2 linked regions of the Tamandua tetradactyla genome follow. The protein of the gene in region 2 purifies or fractionates together with the protein of the main gene of each other region. This does not show direct contact. Links are inferred from orthologs where the notes say so. Each region holds a gene or a part of one and is shown on either strand. Other genes may lie near its edges. The genes, in order: RPP25L and RMP64.

Evidence for each region.
Region 1: the proteins of RMP64 (region 2) and RPP25L purify together in Homo sapiens (affinity purification with mass spectrometry; 3 studies listed by BioGRID and IntAct, with this or other methods). This does not show direct contact. The link is inferred for Tamandua tetradactyla from reciprocal best matches to the Homo sapiens genes RMP64 and RPP25L.

What each region holds. Positions count from the first base shown.
Region 1 is NC_135328.1:61,313,333-61,321,619, reverse strand, and holds RPP25L (ribonuclease P protein subunit p25-like protein), read right to left. Parts: upstream 3,046-8,287; 5' UTR 2,973-3,045; intron 2,959-2,972; exon of another isoform or gene 2,659-2,958; intron 2,268-2,658; 5' UTR 2,234-2,267; coding exon 1,742-2,233; 3' UTR 1,432-1,741; downstream 1-1,431. Other genes in the region: DCTN3 (dynactin subunit 3), read right to left, coding at 4,754-4,843, 5,045-5,104. UniProt on the Homo sapiens protein: May be a component of ribonuclease P or MRP.
Region 2 is NC_135336.1:33,774,020-33,782,318, reverse strand, and holds the start of RMP64 (nucleolus and neural progenitor protein), read right to left. Parts: upstream 3,849-8,299; 5' UTR 3,728-3,848; coding exon of another isoform or gene 3,725-3,727; intron 1-3,724. UniProt on the Homo sapiens protein: May play a role in cortex development as part of the Notch signaling pathway. Downstream of Notch may repress the expression of proneural genes and inhibit neuronal differentiation thereby maintaining neural progenitors.

The sequences.
Region 1 (8,287 bases), on a different chromosome or scaffold from region 2:
AGGGAATCCTGAATTGGGTGTGAGATCTTGCTGGTTTGTACAGATTAGTGTGATACCCTGATACATCCCAGAGTAATTTGGGCAGAGAATTAAAAAGTATTTGCAAAGCCCCCTTAGGGAACTGGGGAGAAAGGAGGAAATATTAAACTTCCCTATCTGGAGAATTGCTGATATTCTTGCAAGCAGTGGGGACTATTAACAGGCCAAGCCCTTCATCTTGGGGCATGCCCTTATGGAATTTATTCCTCCAAAGAAGCTAAGCCTACTTATAATTAGAACTAAAAGTCACCCGCCAAGAACTCTTTTGTTGCTCAGATGTGGCCCCTCTCTCTCTAAGCCAACTCAGTAGGTGAAATCACTGCCCTCTCCCCTCTGTTGGAAAAGGCTCCCAGAGGTATAAATCTCACTGGCAATATGGAACATGACTTCTGGAGATGAGCCAGAACCCGGTATCATGGAATTGAGACAGCCTTCTTGACCAAAAGGGGGAAGAGAGAAATGAGACAAAATAAAATTTCAATGGCTGAGAGATTTCAGAGTCAAGAGGTTATCCTGGAGGCTATTCATATGTGTTATATAGATATCTCTTTTTAATCTGTGGTATATTGGAATGGCTGGGGGGAAATATCTGAAACTGTTGAACTACTGTTCCAGTAGCCTTGATTCTCGATGACTGTACAACTATATAGCTTTTACAATGTGACTATGTGATTGTGAAAACCTTGTGGTTGACACTTCCCTTTACCAGAGTATGGAGAGATGAGTAAAAAAAAAAAGGGACAAAAAAATAAATGTGAGGGGGATGTATAAGGGATAAAAAAAAATTGCGGTACATTGCAATACTAGTGGTCAATGAGAGGGAGGGATAAGGGGTATGGGATGTATGGGCTTTTCCTTTTTATTTTTTTTTCTGTTGTGATGCAAATATTTTTAAAATGATCATCGTGATGAATACACAACTATGTGATGATATTGTAACCCACTACATATTTTGGATGGATTGTACATATATGAAGATATCTCAAAAACATTTTTAAAAAAACAATAAAAACTCTATGAGATAAGCACTAAATCTCATTTTGCAGAAGAGAATACTAAGGCTCAGAACAGTAACTTGCCCAAGGTCACAAAACAATTAAGTGGTTGAGCCAGGATTCAAATCCCAGCAGCCTGGTGCCTAAGTTCCATAAGATATGTCCGCAGATAGAAAAGTGTCTGACCTGAGGGAGAGTCCCTAAACCAACCCAAAGCAGGTGGCAGGCAGTCACCCAGAAGCCTAGATATATTCAGGCTTATTAAGTTTCTCATAGATTCTAGACCATCCCCACACAAGCCTGAGCCTATTATATCTGTCTCCAGCCCATGAGCTCCCAGAAGGCAAGGGCATCCATTCCCCCAATTCCACCTCCACACATCAGGCTGAGCAATGGCTCATCAGACAAATGGGCAGAACCTTTATTTCCTAACTCACTCCCTGGATCGCTGTCCAAAAGGCAGAGCAGAGGCACTATAGGTGGAAAGCAGCATGGGCCCTTCTTAAGTAATCCAGAATCCAGACCTAACACCTGTTACTCTTTATAGCAAACCCTTATCATATTTCAGGCGGCAGAGGAAGGACAGCAAAGCCACTTCTGTGGATCCAAGTCTTGTTGGAGATGTTGAGCAACTGGAAAGGATTCTGGAAGAAGGCACAGCCATCCCAGAAACTGAGGCTTGGAAAACAGCCTGGCTCAGCATGTCCTCAGGATCGGGTGTCTCGAGCCCTTCTTCGGGGTCGGGGGCCATAGCTGGAACTGGGTGTGGAGCCCAGGCCAGGGGGTGCCCCTGGGGGCTGGTAGCCATACTCATTGGGGTCCAGAGGGTCCCGGCTAAGCAGTACCCACACTGCAGGCACGTGGCGGCGCACTGTGAGGGGGTCTAGGCCTGTGTTGGGTGAGGCTGGGACCCAACTGTCCTCAGTCTGCAGGAAGAGTAGCTTGGTGAGCTGGTGCAGGCCTGGTACCCGACGCTTGACAATCTCAGCGCAGCTGACAGCCTTCCCTGCAGCTCGGCCAGAACCTGAGAACACCACATGCCGGGTGCTGCCGCCTTCCAGCTGACCCAGTGCCAGTCCCAGCAGGTTGCGGATTTTGCTGCCATCTCGGACCCGCATCTCCAAGGTATCAGGAGGTAGCTGAGGCATTGGGGAAGACACTGGGAGCTCCACAGAGCCAGCTTTCCGGTAGTGCTCCATACTGCTTGATCACGTCTGCGACTCTTGCTGCACACTGCAGGGAAGTATCAAATATGAGTGCTAGGCAGTGTGTCCCAGGTCATCCCCCACCCTGACTCTCCAGGACACAGCCCTACTCCTCACCCTAGACTTCCAGGAGACAGGACCATATTACTTCATCCTCAGCATCTCAGGACATGGACCATGTCTGCCTCACTCTAGGATGGACTGTACCCTATACTTCCTGTTCCCTTTTCCTCCGGACAAAGCCATACCGTCCCCATCCCCGCCCCCATTCTGGAGCCCCTGAGATAGCATCAAGCACCCACATCCCAAGCTCCCTAAGCCTGGGACTGGTGTCCTCATTCTGGGATCCTAGGCACAGGGCCCGGCCCCCGCGTCCTTGTCAAGTTCCCTCTCCGCACGCCAGAGCCAAGAGTCCTCACCTAGGGCCCCCCAAGAAGAGAACCGACCTCTCCACTCGGGGCTCCCCTGCACAAGGCGGGACATCCCCGACCCCAAGATTCCCAGGGTCGATCTCTCTCAGCTCAGGTCACTCAAGGAGCAGAGGTTCGACACCGGCGGCTGCTTAGCGTGTTCTTGACGTCAACCGGTGGCCTGGCCGGTCTCAACAGTGTCCTTCGCCGCCAAGCCGCTCCCAGTACCCCGAGGGCCGCAGCCGTTGAGAAACCCGCCTGCCCTCCCTTCTCTCCACCTCCACGTCCAGGCGCCCCCCACCCCACCAGGTCCCAACTCTCACCGCGCCGCAGCGCCCCACACGCCGGGTCCAGAGCTAAGATGGCGCGCGGTCCGGGAGCGCGCCGAAATTGCGGGGCCGCGCACGCCGCTCGGGGGCGGGGCCGGAGGCAACGCGGCCCGCCCGGCCTCTCTGCAGTGGCAACTGAGAACCATTCAGAACACCCAGACTGAGCAGAGCTAGGACGCCCGGGACTGGGTGCAGGCGCAAGGTATCCGCTGCCACGCCCTGGGCAGAGGCACTCCCACAGGTGGGACGGTGAGGAGGAAAGAGCCTTGTGGATAGAAGGGACGGCCTTCAGAGGAGTTCAGAGTCTGAAGCATGGGGAGGATTAACCTTTGGAAGATGGGAAAACTGCAGTTAACGGACACGGCAATAGCAAAGGGAGCAAAAGGTTTAGTTGGAAGTGGCTGCTGCTGCACAGGCAAGACACTTGATTACTGAGTTCTGAATTTCAACCTCATCCTGTGGGAACTGGCGAGCCACGGAGGGGTTTTCAACACGGGCCAGTTGAACCAGGTCGTGTGCACAGCTCACTGTAGCCACAGAGAAGAGGTTGGTGGGGGAAATCGAGCCGCAACCGCTGGTAACCTTTGGCCGCGGGGTCCCGGGGCCGTGTCATGGAGCTTGTTACCGTGGCCAGCGGCTAACCAGACGCTCCGTTATTTTTTAAATGATTTGTTGAATGAATGAAATAGAAATGGCAGTGGAAATGAAGAGAAGTAGACTAGGTTGGGAGATACAGAAGAGGTATTCAGTAGAAAGTTGGCGACTGTTTGGATAGACAGGAAGGAAGGAAGGAAGGAAGGAAGAAACGAAGGAAGGAAGGAAGAGTCTAGGATGATTCTCAGGTTTTAGACCAGTTTTGACAGGCTGAATTTGAGGCTAATGAACCCGCGTAGGTGGGGTGGCAGGCAGGCAGTTGGAAAGGGGTCTGAAGCCAGAGTACTCTTTGAGACCACAAGGGGGCAGCAAACACTTTTTGGAGTTTGGTACAGAGCTCAGTCTCTCCCTGCTGTTTCTCATCACGTTCCCCCATCTCCTTCCCAATTCCCTTTCCCCAGAACCTAAAACTCTCGATATCCAAACCTTCCATCTCTTCTGGGGCTCCCCTTCTCAACTAATAGCACCAAGTAGGTTCCCAGGAAAGAAACTTCAAGGCACCTCTCTGCCTTTATACATACTGCTTCCTTGGCTCTCAAAATCATAGCCTATCACCCACCAGGCCTGCCTCCCCTATTAGCCTCTTTTGGACCAAACGACCCTGTGACCATCTGGTGTGACTGCTTTTTTCCTTGGCTGGCTTCTCCCCTAAATGGGTTCTACCTGCTTCCTTCCCACCATGTATGGGGTCTGGCATTTAGTTGGTGCTTAGACATAGGATAAATAGATGCATAAAAGAATGTGCCACTCATAAGAATCAAATGGGAGCCTCCACTGTGAGAGCTCCACACCTCCTTGAAAGACAGACCAAGATGAGTGTAGTTCCCAGTCCAACCACTAGGCTGGTTGTCAGCTCTGCGCTCCACCACCCCCATGCTAGAACAAAAGCCAGCACACTCCCATTGGTATTTATAGTTTATTGTCACTGAAATGAGGGCACTGACTGGGGGGTGGTGCAAATTGCAAATCCCAGGTAACCCCTGATCTCTGGCCTCAGAGCCCCACCTGAGTGTGAACAGGTGGTTGTAGGTCCAATAAATATAGAAAGCTGCCTCTGCACAGCTACAGAGGCAGCTGGAACAGGGCCTTGGAGCCTGGCCATCCTGGGATGGGGAGCAGTATCATTCCTCCACCGGTTTCACTTGCTTGGCAGCCTCTAGCTGGCAAAGCAACTCATCCCACTGCACAAATTGCTTGGAGAGAAGCATTGTCTGTTCACACACAAGTCAAGGTGAAAAGAACAGGAATTTAAATGAGGGATTGGAGAGACTTCTTGTGAGCCAAAATGGGTGGGGTGGGGGAACAGGGGAATAGACAGGCTGGTTGGGAAGGGCTGAGAGAATTGATGTGGGACAAAAGGATGGGGCTTGGGGACAGAACCCATTAGGGGCCTGGTTGAGCAGAAAGGATACAATCTTGTTGTATTCCTCCAGGAGAGCCTTGGACTCCTCAGTGATCTCCATACACTGGTCCTGCGGGGCCAGGGAGGGGCAAAGAATGGAGTTAGGCAAAAACCCCACCTCCTACTTCCTGCTCACCAGAGACCCCCACTCCCCATACAGCCCAGAAAATGTGATGCTTAACCCCAGAATGAAGGAACAAATTGCCAAGGGAAGAGAAGGATGGGGAGGATTATACGAAGATGGTGTAGTAAAAAAGACCAATAACCATTCCCAACACTCTGCCTCCCCCATGCCCAAAACAAATACTGAGCTGGCAGGAACTATCTGAATCAATTATTTTAGGAAACAGCCAGAGGAAGAAGCTGGTAAATATCTGTGACTTTCACCATCCATGCAGTATCTACTATCTCCCATCCCCCAATCATGTGGCAGGCAGTACTGGGGACTAAAGCCCAGGCTCCTGGTGCAGCTTAATAGTGCCATGAAGGATATAAGGACTAAGTCCTCCAAAGCCTGGGGTGGTGGTGGTGGTGGTGGTGGTGGTTTGATCACTGCTCACTGCTTTGGATCAGCTACTTCAGATTGCTGGGGAACTGGCTTTGAAGACAGCTATTGTTCCATCCTTCCTCAAAGCAAAAGCAGCAGAGGGCTTTTAAAGAGGCAGTATCTTTTTTTTTTCTCTTGTCTTTTTCCATTCCTCATTTGGAAGCAAAAATAGTTTGGAAAAGTCACAAACTGATGGTTCCAGCCCTCAACAACAAAACCAAACAAAAAACCTAGCAATCACAGAGGAGTGGGAGAACTAGATTTCTAGAGTTAAAAAACATAATTCTCAGCATGTCTAGTTCTCAATAAAAATTACAAAGAAAGATGAAAGTATGGCCCATTCACAGGAAAAAAAATTTGTAAGAAACCATAATGAGGAAGCTCATACATTAGAATGACTAGTCACAGACTTTAAATCAACGGTCTTAAACATGTTCAATGAATAAAAGGAATCCATATACAAAGAACTAAAGGAAATTATGAAAATGTCTGACAAAATAAAGAAATGAAAATTATAAAAAGGAAGCAAACAAATTTTGGAGCTACAAAGTACAGTAATGGAAATGAAAAACTCAGTAGACTGATTGAGTAGCAGATTTGAACAGGCAGAAAAAAGATCAGCAAACTTGCAAAGAAGACAACTGAAAGTGTCCAGTGTGAACAGCAGGAAGGAAAAATAATCAAGAAAAATGAACAGAGCGTGAGGTATCTGTGTGATATCAAGTATACCAACGTATACATCCTTAGAGTGTCAGAAGGACAAGGGAGAGAGAAAGGGGCAGAAAAAGTATTTGAACAAATAATCGCCAAAAACTTCCCAAATCTGATAAAAGACATGAATATACACATCAAGGAAGCTCAACAAACTCCAAGCAGGATGAACTTTAAGAGCTCTACACCAAGAAAAATTACAGTGTAATTGTCAAAATCCAAAGACAAAAAGAGAATTTCAAAAGCAGCAAGAGAAAAGCAACTTGTCACATACAAGGGGTCCCCAATAAGATAAACAGTGAATTTCTCAGCAGAAACCATGGAGGGGGTACACAGGTGGTTTGGTGGTAGAATGCTTGCCTTTCATGTGGGAGACCTGAGTTCTATTTCTCGACCATGCACCATCCCCCACAAAAGAACCCATAGAGGCCAGACGACATACTTAAAGTCTTTAAAGAAAAAAACTGTCAACTAAGAACTCTAAATTCGGCAAATTATCCCTCAAAAATGAAGAAGAAATCAAGACATTTACAGATAAACAAAAGCTAAAAGTGTTCATTACCATAAGATCTGCCCTACAAGAATTGTAAAGGAAGTCTTTCAGTCTGAAATAAAAGGACACTAGACAGTAACTCTAAGCCATAAGAAGAAATAAGGAACATTCCTAAGGTAACTGCCTAGGTTAATATAAAATCCTGTATTATTGTACTTTTGGTTTATAAGTGCTTTTATCCTCCTCTATATGATTTAACAGTCAAATGTGTAAAAAAAAATATTTAAAATCTAGGTTGATGGGCACACAGTGTAAAAAGATGTAATCTGCATAACATATAAAGGGGAAGCGATGAATATATATAGGAATAGAGAGTTTATATATGTCTGAGACTAGGTTAGTACTAGTCAAACTAGGTGGTTATTAGTTAAGAAGTTAATGGAAATGACAATTTTACCATTATGAAAATAACTAAATATAGATATAAGGAAAGAAAAGGGGAATCAAAGAAGGCAATACAAAGAAGCAAGTAAATATTTTTAAAAATATTTACTGGATATAAATTTACTGGATATAAATAACCTGATATTTAGAGATAAGAATGAAGCCAATCAGGTTGGGATTAAGTGTTTTTATTTTAGAATCACAAATACTCTTTGAGACCAAAGGAAGAAAGGTTTATTTGGTCTGGAACCCAAATTTTCTGTAGCACATAATCTAACTCAACCTATCTGTATAGCTCATTTGAACAAGTCAAACACAGGGAGCACAGAATAAGAAAGAGGTCCTTTAATCCTGTATAGCTTAATGTAATGCCTGGATACATTCTAGAGTATATTAAACAGATCATCAAAAACTATTGACAAAGTACCTTGAGGAATGTGAGCAAAAATATGCAACTATTAAACTTTACCAGCAGGAAATCCCCTGCTACCGTGTCAAACTATAGGGACACCCAAATCAATAGGCCATGCCCTTGATCTTGAGGCTTACTCTTGTGAAGCTTATGTAGGTAGTGGAAAAGTTTAGCCTACCTGTAGGTATGCCTAAGAGTTACTTGTGGAGGACCTCTTTTGTTGCTCAGATGTGGCCTTACTCTCTCTAAGCCCAACTCTGCAAATGAAATCATTGCCCTCCCCGCTATGTGGGACATGACATCCAAGGGTGAAAGTCTCTCCGTCAATGTGGGAGATGACTCCCAGGGATGAATCTGGCCCTGGCACTGTGGGATCAACAATTCCATCCTGACCAAAAGTGGGAAAAGAAGTGTAACTAATAAAGTATCAGTGGCAGACAGAGTTCAAATAGAGATGAGAGGATACTCTGGATGTTACTCTTACGCAAGCTTCAGTTAGACATTGCTACCTATCATAACCTGCCAAACCCCAACCAGGATCATTCCAGCCAATCCTAAAGAACACCTAGGGCAATATATAAGATTTCAAAAAGGGTTCCATGCACTGGTGTAACTTTCCAGAAACCTACAACCTCCAGATGGGTCC
Region 2 (8,299 bases):
CTTGGGAGAATTAGAGAAAGAACCCTACTACCTAACCCCAAAACAAGCAAAAGGAAAGAAATAATGAAGATTAGAGCAGAAATAAATAAAATTGAGAACATGAAAACAATTGAGAAAATCAATAAAGCCAGAAGTTGATTCTATGAGAAAATCAATAAGATTTATGGACCCTTAGTGAGGTTGACAAAAAGAAGAAGAGAGAGGATGCAAATGAATAAAGTCAGAAATGGAAGAGAAGACATAACCATGGACCCCACAGAAATAAAGGAAGTAATGAGAGGATACTGTGAACAGCTTTCTGCTAATAGACTCGACAATGTAGATGAAATGGACAACTTTCTAGAAAGGCATGAACAACCAGCATTGACTTGAGAAGAAATAGATGACCTCAACAAACCAGTCACAAGTAAAGAACTGAATCAGTCATTAAGAAGCTCCCCAAAAAGAAAAGTCCAAGACCATGGCTTCACATGTGAATTCCACCAAACATTCCAGAAAGAATTAGTACTAATCCTGCTCAAACTCTTCAAAAAATTGAAGAGAAGGGAAAGCTACCTAATTCATTCTATGAAGCCAACATCACCCTCACACCAAAACCAGGCAAAGATATTACAAAAAAAGAAAACTACAGACCAATCTCTGTAATGAATATAGATGCAAAAATCCTCAACAAAATTCTACCAAATTGAATCCAGCAACACATTAAAAGAATTATGCATCATGACCAAGTAGGATTCATCCCAGGTATGCAAGGATGTTTCAACATAAGAAAATCAATTAATGTAATACACCATATCAACAAATCAAAGCAGAAAAACTGCATGATCATCTTGATCGATGCAGAAAAGGCATTTGACAAAATTCAACATCCTTTCCTGTTGAAAACACATCAAAGGATAAGAATAGGAGGGGACTCCTTCAACATGATAAAGGGATATATACAAAACCCACAGCTAACATCATCCTAAATGGAGAAAAACCAAAAACTTCCCCCTAAGATCAGGAACAAGACAAGGATGTCCACTATCACCACTGTTATTCAACATTGTGTTGGAAATTCTAGCCAGAGCAATTAGCCAAGAAAAAAATACAAGGCATCAAAATTGGAAAGGAAGAAGTAAAACTTTCACTGTTTGCAGATGATATGATACTATATATCGAAAACACTGAAAAATCCACAGCAAAACTACTAGAGCTAATAAATGAGTACAGAAAAGTGGCAGGTTACAAGATCAACACTCAAAAATCTGTAGTGTTTCTATACACTAGTAATGAACGATCTGAGAGGGAAATCAAGAAAAAAAATTCCATTTACAATTACAACCAAAAGAATAAAATATTTAGGAATAAATTTAACTAAAGAGACAAAAGACCTTTATAAAGAAAACTACAAGAAATTGTTAAAAGAAATCACAGAAGACCTAAATAAATGGAAGGGCATACTGTGTTCATGGATTGGAAGCCTAAATATAGTTAAGATGTTAATTCTACTACCTAAATTGATTTACAGATTCATTGCAATACCAATTAAAATCTCAAAAACATACTTTTCAGAAATAGAAAAACCAATAACCAAATTTATCTGGAAGGGCAGGGTGCCTCAAATAGCTAAAAGTATCCTGAGAAAGAGAAATGAAGTCAGAGGTCTCATGCTACCTGAATTTAAGGCATATTATGAAGCTACAGTGGTCAAAACAGTATGGTTTTTTGATTTTCAGTAGACTGATATTCAGTAGAGCCCAGACTTGAATCTATACTGCCATATATCACAGCCGAGTTATTGATCAGTTCTAGTTTGCTAGCTCCTGGAATGCAATATAACAGAAATGGAATGACTTTTAAAAAGAGGAATTTAATAAGTTACAAATTTACAGTTCTAAGGCCATGAAAATCTCCACATTAAAGCAAGTCTATAAAGATGTCCAAACCAAGGAACCATCAAGAGGTTACCTTCACTCAAGAAGGGCCAATGAGTTCAGCATTTCTCTCTCAACTGGGGAGGCCATGTGATAAACATGGCCACAGTCTGCCAGCTTTCACTCCTGGCTTCTTGCCTGTGAAGCTCCCCGCTGGGGCATTCTCATTTTTCATCTCCAAAGGTTGCTGGCTAATGGACTCTGGTTCTCTTGGCCTCATGGCTGTACTTGCCTCTGCTGTGGGTTTCTTGAGGCTCCAAAAAGGGACTCTCTCCAAAAATGTCTCCTCTTTTATTGGATTCCAATAATTAATAAAGACCCACATAGAATGGGTGAAGACACTTAAGTGAATCACATCTCTGTGGAGATAACCCAATCAAGCTTCCAATTTATAGTACTAAATAGGAATTAGAAGAAATGATTGCTCCCACAAGGTTGATTAGGCTTAAAACATGGCTTTTCTAGGGTACACAAACCCTTCCAAACCAGCACAATCACTATGGTATATTGCTTTTGTTATTAAACATTAAGAGTTTTTAATTTATTGTTTGATTAGCTGTCTTCACCACTAAACTACAACCTTTTAAAGAGAAATGATCATGTGTGTTTGTTAATTGTTGCTTTTCAGTACCTAACAAAGTGCCTGGCATATAAGAGACGCATGATAGATACCAATCAAATGAATAAGCCAAGTGACTTAAGGAAAAGATAGGGACAGAGAGAATGAAAAAAAAAAAAAGGTTATTCCTCCTTTCTTGTTTTACTGCTTTGGGATAGGAGAGAAAAGAGTATTTTGGAGAGGGCAGAAATCTTCCCATATGTAAAGAACAAAGGTCAATCAAGAATTAATAGTTTCCGGGGCAGGCCATGGTGGCTTAGCAGGCAGAACTCTCGCCTGCCATGCCAGAGACCCAGGTTCGATTCCCAGTGCCTGCCCATGCAAAAAAAAAAAAAAAGAATTAATAGTTTTTGAAATGTTTTTAATTCTCACATTTCAAAATATGCCCACATGGGGGAATTAATTTCCATAGCCCTTCTTAGCTGCTTATAACTTATTTAAATCCTAAGAAAAATTCCTTAGAAAGGAATATCCAAATTTGTGCCAATAGAATATTTTTATGTTCAAGTCTTGTTTTTCCTTTAAATTTTAGTTAGATCCCCTTTTCCCCAGTTCATCTACCCCAAAACAGCTGGAACTAATCTGTTTCCTCTCCAAACTCCCATCTCATTTTTATCTCTAGTTCTCTTAACCCTAGTCATGGTATGCCTACTTCTGGATACATTTGTGATCAATTCTGTAAGTTCATGCATGTGATGTGGATGTTACATAGTGCTGGCACATGGGTTCTCAGTAGGTATTTGTTGAATAAACATTGAGAGAATAAGTCAACTAATGAGTAATGTAAGCCTTCCAATGTGAGTCTGGCACTAGTCTTGCATTAAGTATTTTTTAAGTTCGGCAATTACAGTAGCCCGAGTTGTCGCTACAAGTCATTTGAAAGACCTGTCATACACTTAAACATAATGTGTTAGTTTTCCACACTAGTCTCCAAATATTTTCCTTGATTCTAAAAACTATTCTGTCATAGATTTTAATTAAAAATGCAGGAAGCAACCAAGATGCACTTCCATAGGTGAATGGATAAATAAAATGGGGTGCACTCATACAATGGAGTATTATTCAATGGTTAAAGGAAATGAGCCGTCAAGCCACACACACACACACACACACACACACAAACAAAAAGTGGGGAAACCTTAAATACACATTGCTAATTGAAAGAAGTTAGTCTATAAAAGGTACACACCATAGAACTCCAACTGTAAGAGAGGAAAACGTGAAATTCTAGAGACAGCAAAAAGATCAGTGGGTTGCCTCAGGTTCACTGGGAGTGGGGAAGAGCTGAATAGGTAGAGTACAAGAATGATTATAGCAGTGGAACTATTCTGTATGATATCATAATGGTAGATACATGGCATTATGCACTTGTCATAAAGGTGCACTTGTATACCTTTAATGTAAACTGTGGTGTGGTTCTTTGAAGCTGTTTTGTACCCCAAGAAAAGGTCATGTTCTTTTAATCCATTCCTGTGGTTGTAGACCTATTGTAGGTAGAACCTTTTGATTAGGTTATTTCAACTGAGGTGTGACCCACCTCATTCAAGGTGGATCTTAATCCTCTCACAGGTGTCCTTTAAAAGAGAGAGACAGAAACTAGAAGAGATGAAATTAAGAGAAGCTCAAAGAGAAAAGTCCTAGAGAAGCTAAAAGAGGACCCACAGATAAAGAGAGAAGTCCCTGAAGCCAGAACTTAAAGCTACAAAACCCAGGAGAGAAGAACCAATAGACACCCATGTGCCTTCCTATGTGACAGAGCTGTCCCGGATTCTGGCAGCCTGTCTTCAAAGTCCAGATATTGTCCCACTGATGCCTTGAGTAGGCATTTTCATGGCCTAAGAGCTGTAAATTGTAAATTAATTAATCCCCATTGTAAAAGTCAACTGATTTCTGGTTTATTGCATTTCATCAGCTTTAGCAACCAAAACATGGACTTTAGTTAATAATATGTACCAGTATCAGTTCATCGTTGTAACAAGTGTACCACAATAATGCAAGATGTTAATAATATAGAAAATTATGTGTTTGGGGGTGGGTTTATGGGAATACTGTTGTGGTAGTTAGATTCAGTTGTCAACTTGGCCAGGTGAAAGCACCTAGTTCTGTTGCTGTGGGCATGAGCCAATTGTAGGTGAATCTCATCTGTTGCTAATTACATCCGCAGTCGGCTAGGAGGCGTGTCTGCTGCAATGAGTGACGTTTAACTTAATTGGCTTGTGCTTAAATGAGAGAACGCAATGTAGCACAGTCTAGCAGCTTGGCATTCCTCATCTCAGCACTTGCAGCTCAGCCCGGGCCCTTGGAGATGGAGAAAGAAATCACCCCGGGGAAAGTTGTTGGAACCCAGGGGCCTGGAGAGAAGACCAGCAGAGACCATCCTGTGCCTTCCACGTAAGAAAGAACCTCAGTGGAAAGTTAGCTGCCTTTCCTCTGAAGAACCAACAAAATAAATCCCCTTTTATTAAAAGCCAATCCGTCTCTGGTGTGTTGCATTCCGGCAGCTAGCAAACTAGAACAACTGTACTTTTTGGCAGTTTTTCTGTAAACTTAAAACTGCTCTAAAAATGAATATTATTTTTAAAAAGTAAGTGTGCTTCTACATTGCTATACATTTTTGAGAATTTAGGCATTTTTAGAGCTTTTGAAAATTAAGTATGTATTTTTTTAATGAAGTTTTCGTGCAAAAGTCTCAAGGGAACAGCTTCTCACTTGCATTGAGAAACTCTGAAAATGTATAAGTCTAAATGAAATGTATGTTTCATTTGAATTCCTGGAGTGAATTTTGGCTTTGATTTTTATCGCATTTATATGCATGAATTTCAATTTAGGATCTGGGCTGTCAGAGAATTACAGTTTTCCTGGGTCAAATGTCAGGTTGTTGCTTTTCAGAATTGTTTGAAAGTAACCTTACAAGAATCATGAAAGTATCTCAAGATAGCTGAAATGACACTTGAGGAAAAGGGACAATTTGGAGAAGAAATGGGTTCACAGCAAATAGAAATAAGAATTATATCCAGAGCCAAGATGGTCTCCAAGTTTCATTTCCCTGAAGAATGAGCAAAGTACATTGCAACCTTTCCCCATCCACGGGACAGCAGGCCACCTACAGCTAAAACACAGAGCAGAAGGGATTCTGCGTGATTCGTGGCACAGCTCCAATTTCCTTGTTGGCGTTTCTGATGTCAATGCCCTCCACTGCCTAAGATCTGAAAAATGGGTGGAAATTTAAGCACAGTTGCCAAGAAAGCAGACTTTTATGAAACAACCATACAAACTCCACTCACTTAATGTATTTTTTTTCTATATTAACTGTTAGATTCCCATCTTAGGTAACCTAATAGCTTTAACTGCAGTTATTTCTCATAGGCCTTTATGCTGACATCTTAACTGCATTTGCTCAGAAAATAAAAATCCAACACCTACAACCCTGGTACTTATGACTTGTTCATTACCCACCTTTTCCACCAGATGGCAGCCAGAGGTTGTGCCTTGATTATCCTCTCTAAATCTGTCTTTTCTGACTTCATTAGAACCCAAGAAGAGAGACTTAATCTACATTCTCTCCAGCCGATAGAATTCCTGTTCCACAACCTCAGACAGAATGAAGACAATTCGATTTATCTCTGGCAGAAGAGATTCAGATTATCAAAGAAACATTTCATAGGAAAGTAAATACATATGATTTTAAGATTGGTCTCTGAAGTGGAATAAGGTCTCGTGACCTGAAGGCATAGTTTTGAATAAGAGTGCCATAACCTCAATTTATTTTAGAGTTACAGAATCTCAACCTGGAAGTGGCTAGACTCAAAACTTAATAATTTGAGTTTCAAAAATTAATAATCAGATAATTAGATGTACTTTCTCAACATTAAAGATTTAATGCCCAAGAATTGGTCTTGGAGAAAATGGAATCATTATAACTATTTGGCAGCATTGAGGCAAAATTTCCACGTCAAATTTATAAAGTGTATAGCGATTTGGTAACTTGTTTTGCTTTCTTCTTTCTTGCCATGTACCTCCTAAGAGCTGGGCATGGATCAGTAAGTTCCCTTCATGTGGCTGCCAGCAAGTCTGTGCCTGATTTGGCAAGTTTCTGCAAAGGTACCAGTGCCTCTAATGGAACATAACACCTCAGTGTTACCCCAAGGGACAGGGCCAAGCCATGCTTCAGTGTCTGCTGCTGAACTAAGCCCCAAGCATCTTCTCTGCCAAAGAAATGGTTACTGGAACCTTTCAAATGTTTGCTTTGGGGACTATATTGTTCATAAAATTTTAAAAAAAAAAAAAAAAAAAAAAAAACTTTGTTCTTTGTTCTTTACTCTGTACACCGCATTTCCAAATGACCCGTCTGTGCACCCATATTTATCTACAAAACACACGTACATGTGAACACACATGCCCAGAAACAAAAAGTTTTCAGCTATAAGAGTCATGGTCCTTAAAATCTTTCTCCTTTGCACCAATATTTATTGCTGTCTATTCTCATTAAATATATTATGTGAGATGCCGGCATGGCAAGAACTGCCTCAGGGATATATAAGAAAATATCATCGGGGCAATAAACAGATGTATTCAAATAGTGACAGTATACTAAAATGTGACAAATATAATACATGAATCCCATCTAACTCAGTCAACTCTAGAATAAAAATAAAGGATATTAAAATTAGTATTTAAAAATCTCCCCCCATGAGCATGTAGGCTCCATGAGAACAGGAATTTTTAACTGTTTAGTTCCTTGCTCTATTCTAAGTGCCTCAGACATTTCAGATGTTCAATTAATATTTGTCAAATAGTGAAAATACTTAAGAAATGTACCACATCAGAGACCAACATACTATCTCTTACGGTAAGTCCAACTCAGACAAACATTTTTCCCCTCCAGCATTAAAATAGATCATGGTTTCTTCAGTTGAACACAAGGTAGTAGTTACTTGGCTTGGATTTAGGGACAATGTTGCATATACTTAACAATCATATTCATAGGGGTAATATGTTCACTCTAGGAAAACAGTGAGCACAGTTAGTGACTGAATAAATGGCAGATTCTCTTCCCTTCTAGTATTTTCTAGGAGGTGGAGTTGGCAGATCTAACAGATAAAAATACTGGATGGTGAGATAAACAGAATTTGCATGGGACATTCTTATACTTAAAAAAATTAATTGTCTGAAATTCTAAATTAACTTGGTGTCCTGTATTTTATCTGGCAGCCCTACTCTGGGGCATATGCCTTCTGAACCTAAGGATGGGAAAATTGTCTGATTTCTAAATTGCAATCTCTCTCTCTCTCTCTCTCCACCACCCCCAAATACGGGATGTATCCATTTAACTTCAGTGTGTGAATGCCACTGTAGTATGATAACAGTGAATTCCGTTAATCTCTTAAAGTGCACCATCAACAAATCCATTATTTTTCAATGTTCCCTGAGCTAAAAATTTAGGGAAACACTATACAGTGTTTAGTAATGTGCTTGATCTGAATGAAGAGTCTGCCTTAGAACCTTATTCCTCCCCAATACTTTGAGAAATGATTTCTGGGAAGATGTTTTTGTTTAGAACGTTAGAAATAAGCTTAGGAGGCTCTAAATTTCCTATGTAGCCCCTGGCTAATTATCAATCTCTTAATGATAGGGTGGATCTAATACCTGATTCTGGGGCTGGAGCAGGAATTCCTAAAGAGTGTAGAAGGAAGCACTTCCACAACTTAGATGAAAGGTACTGAACTGAGTGATGAAAATACAAACTCAGCTTTTTCAACAAGAA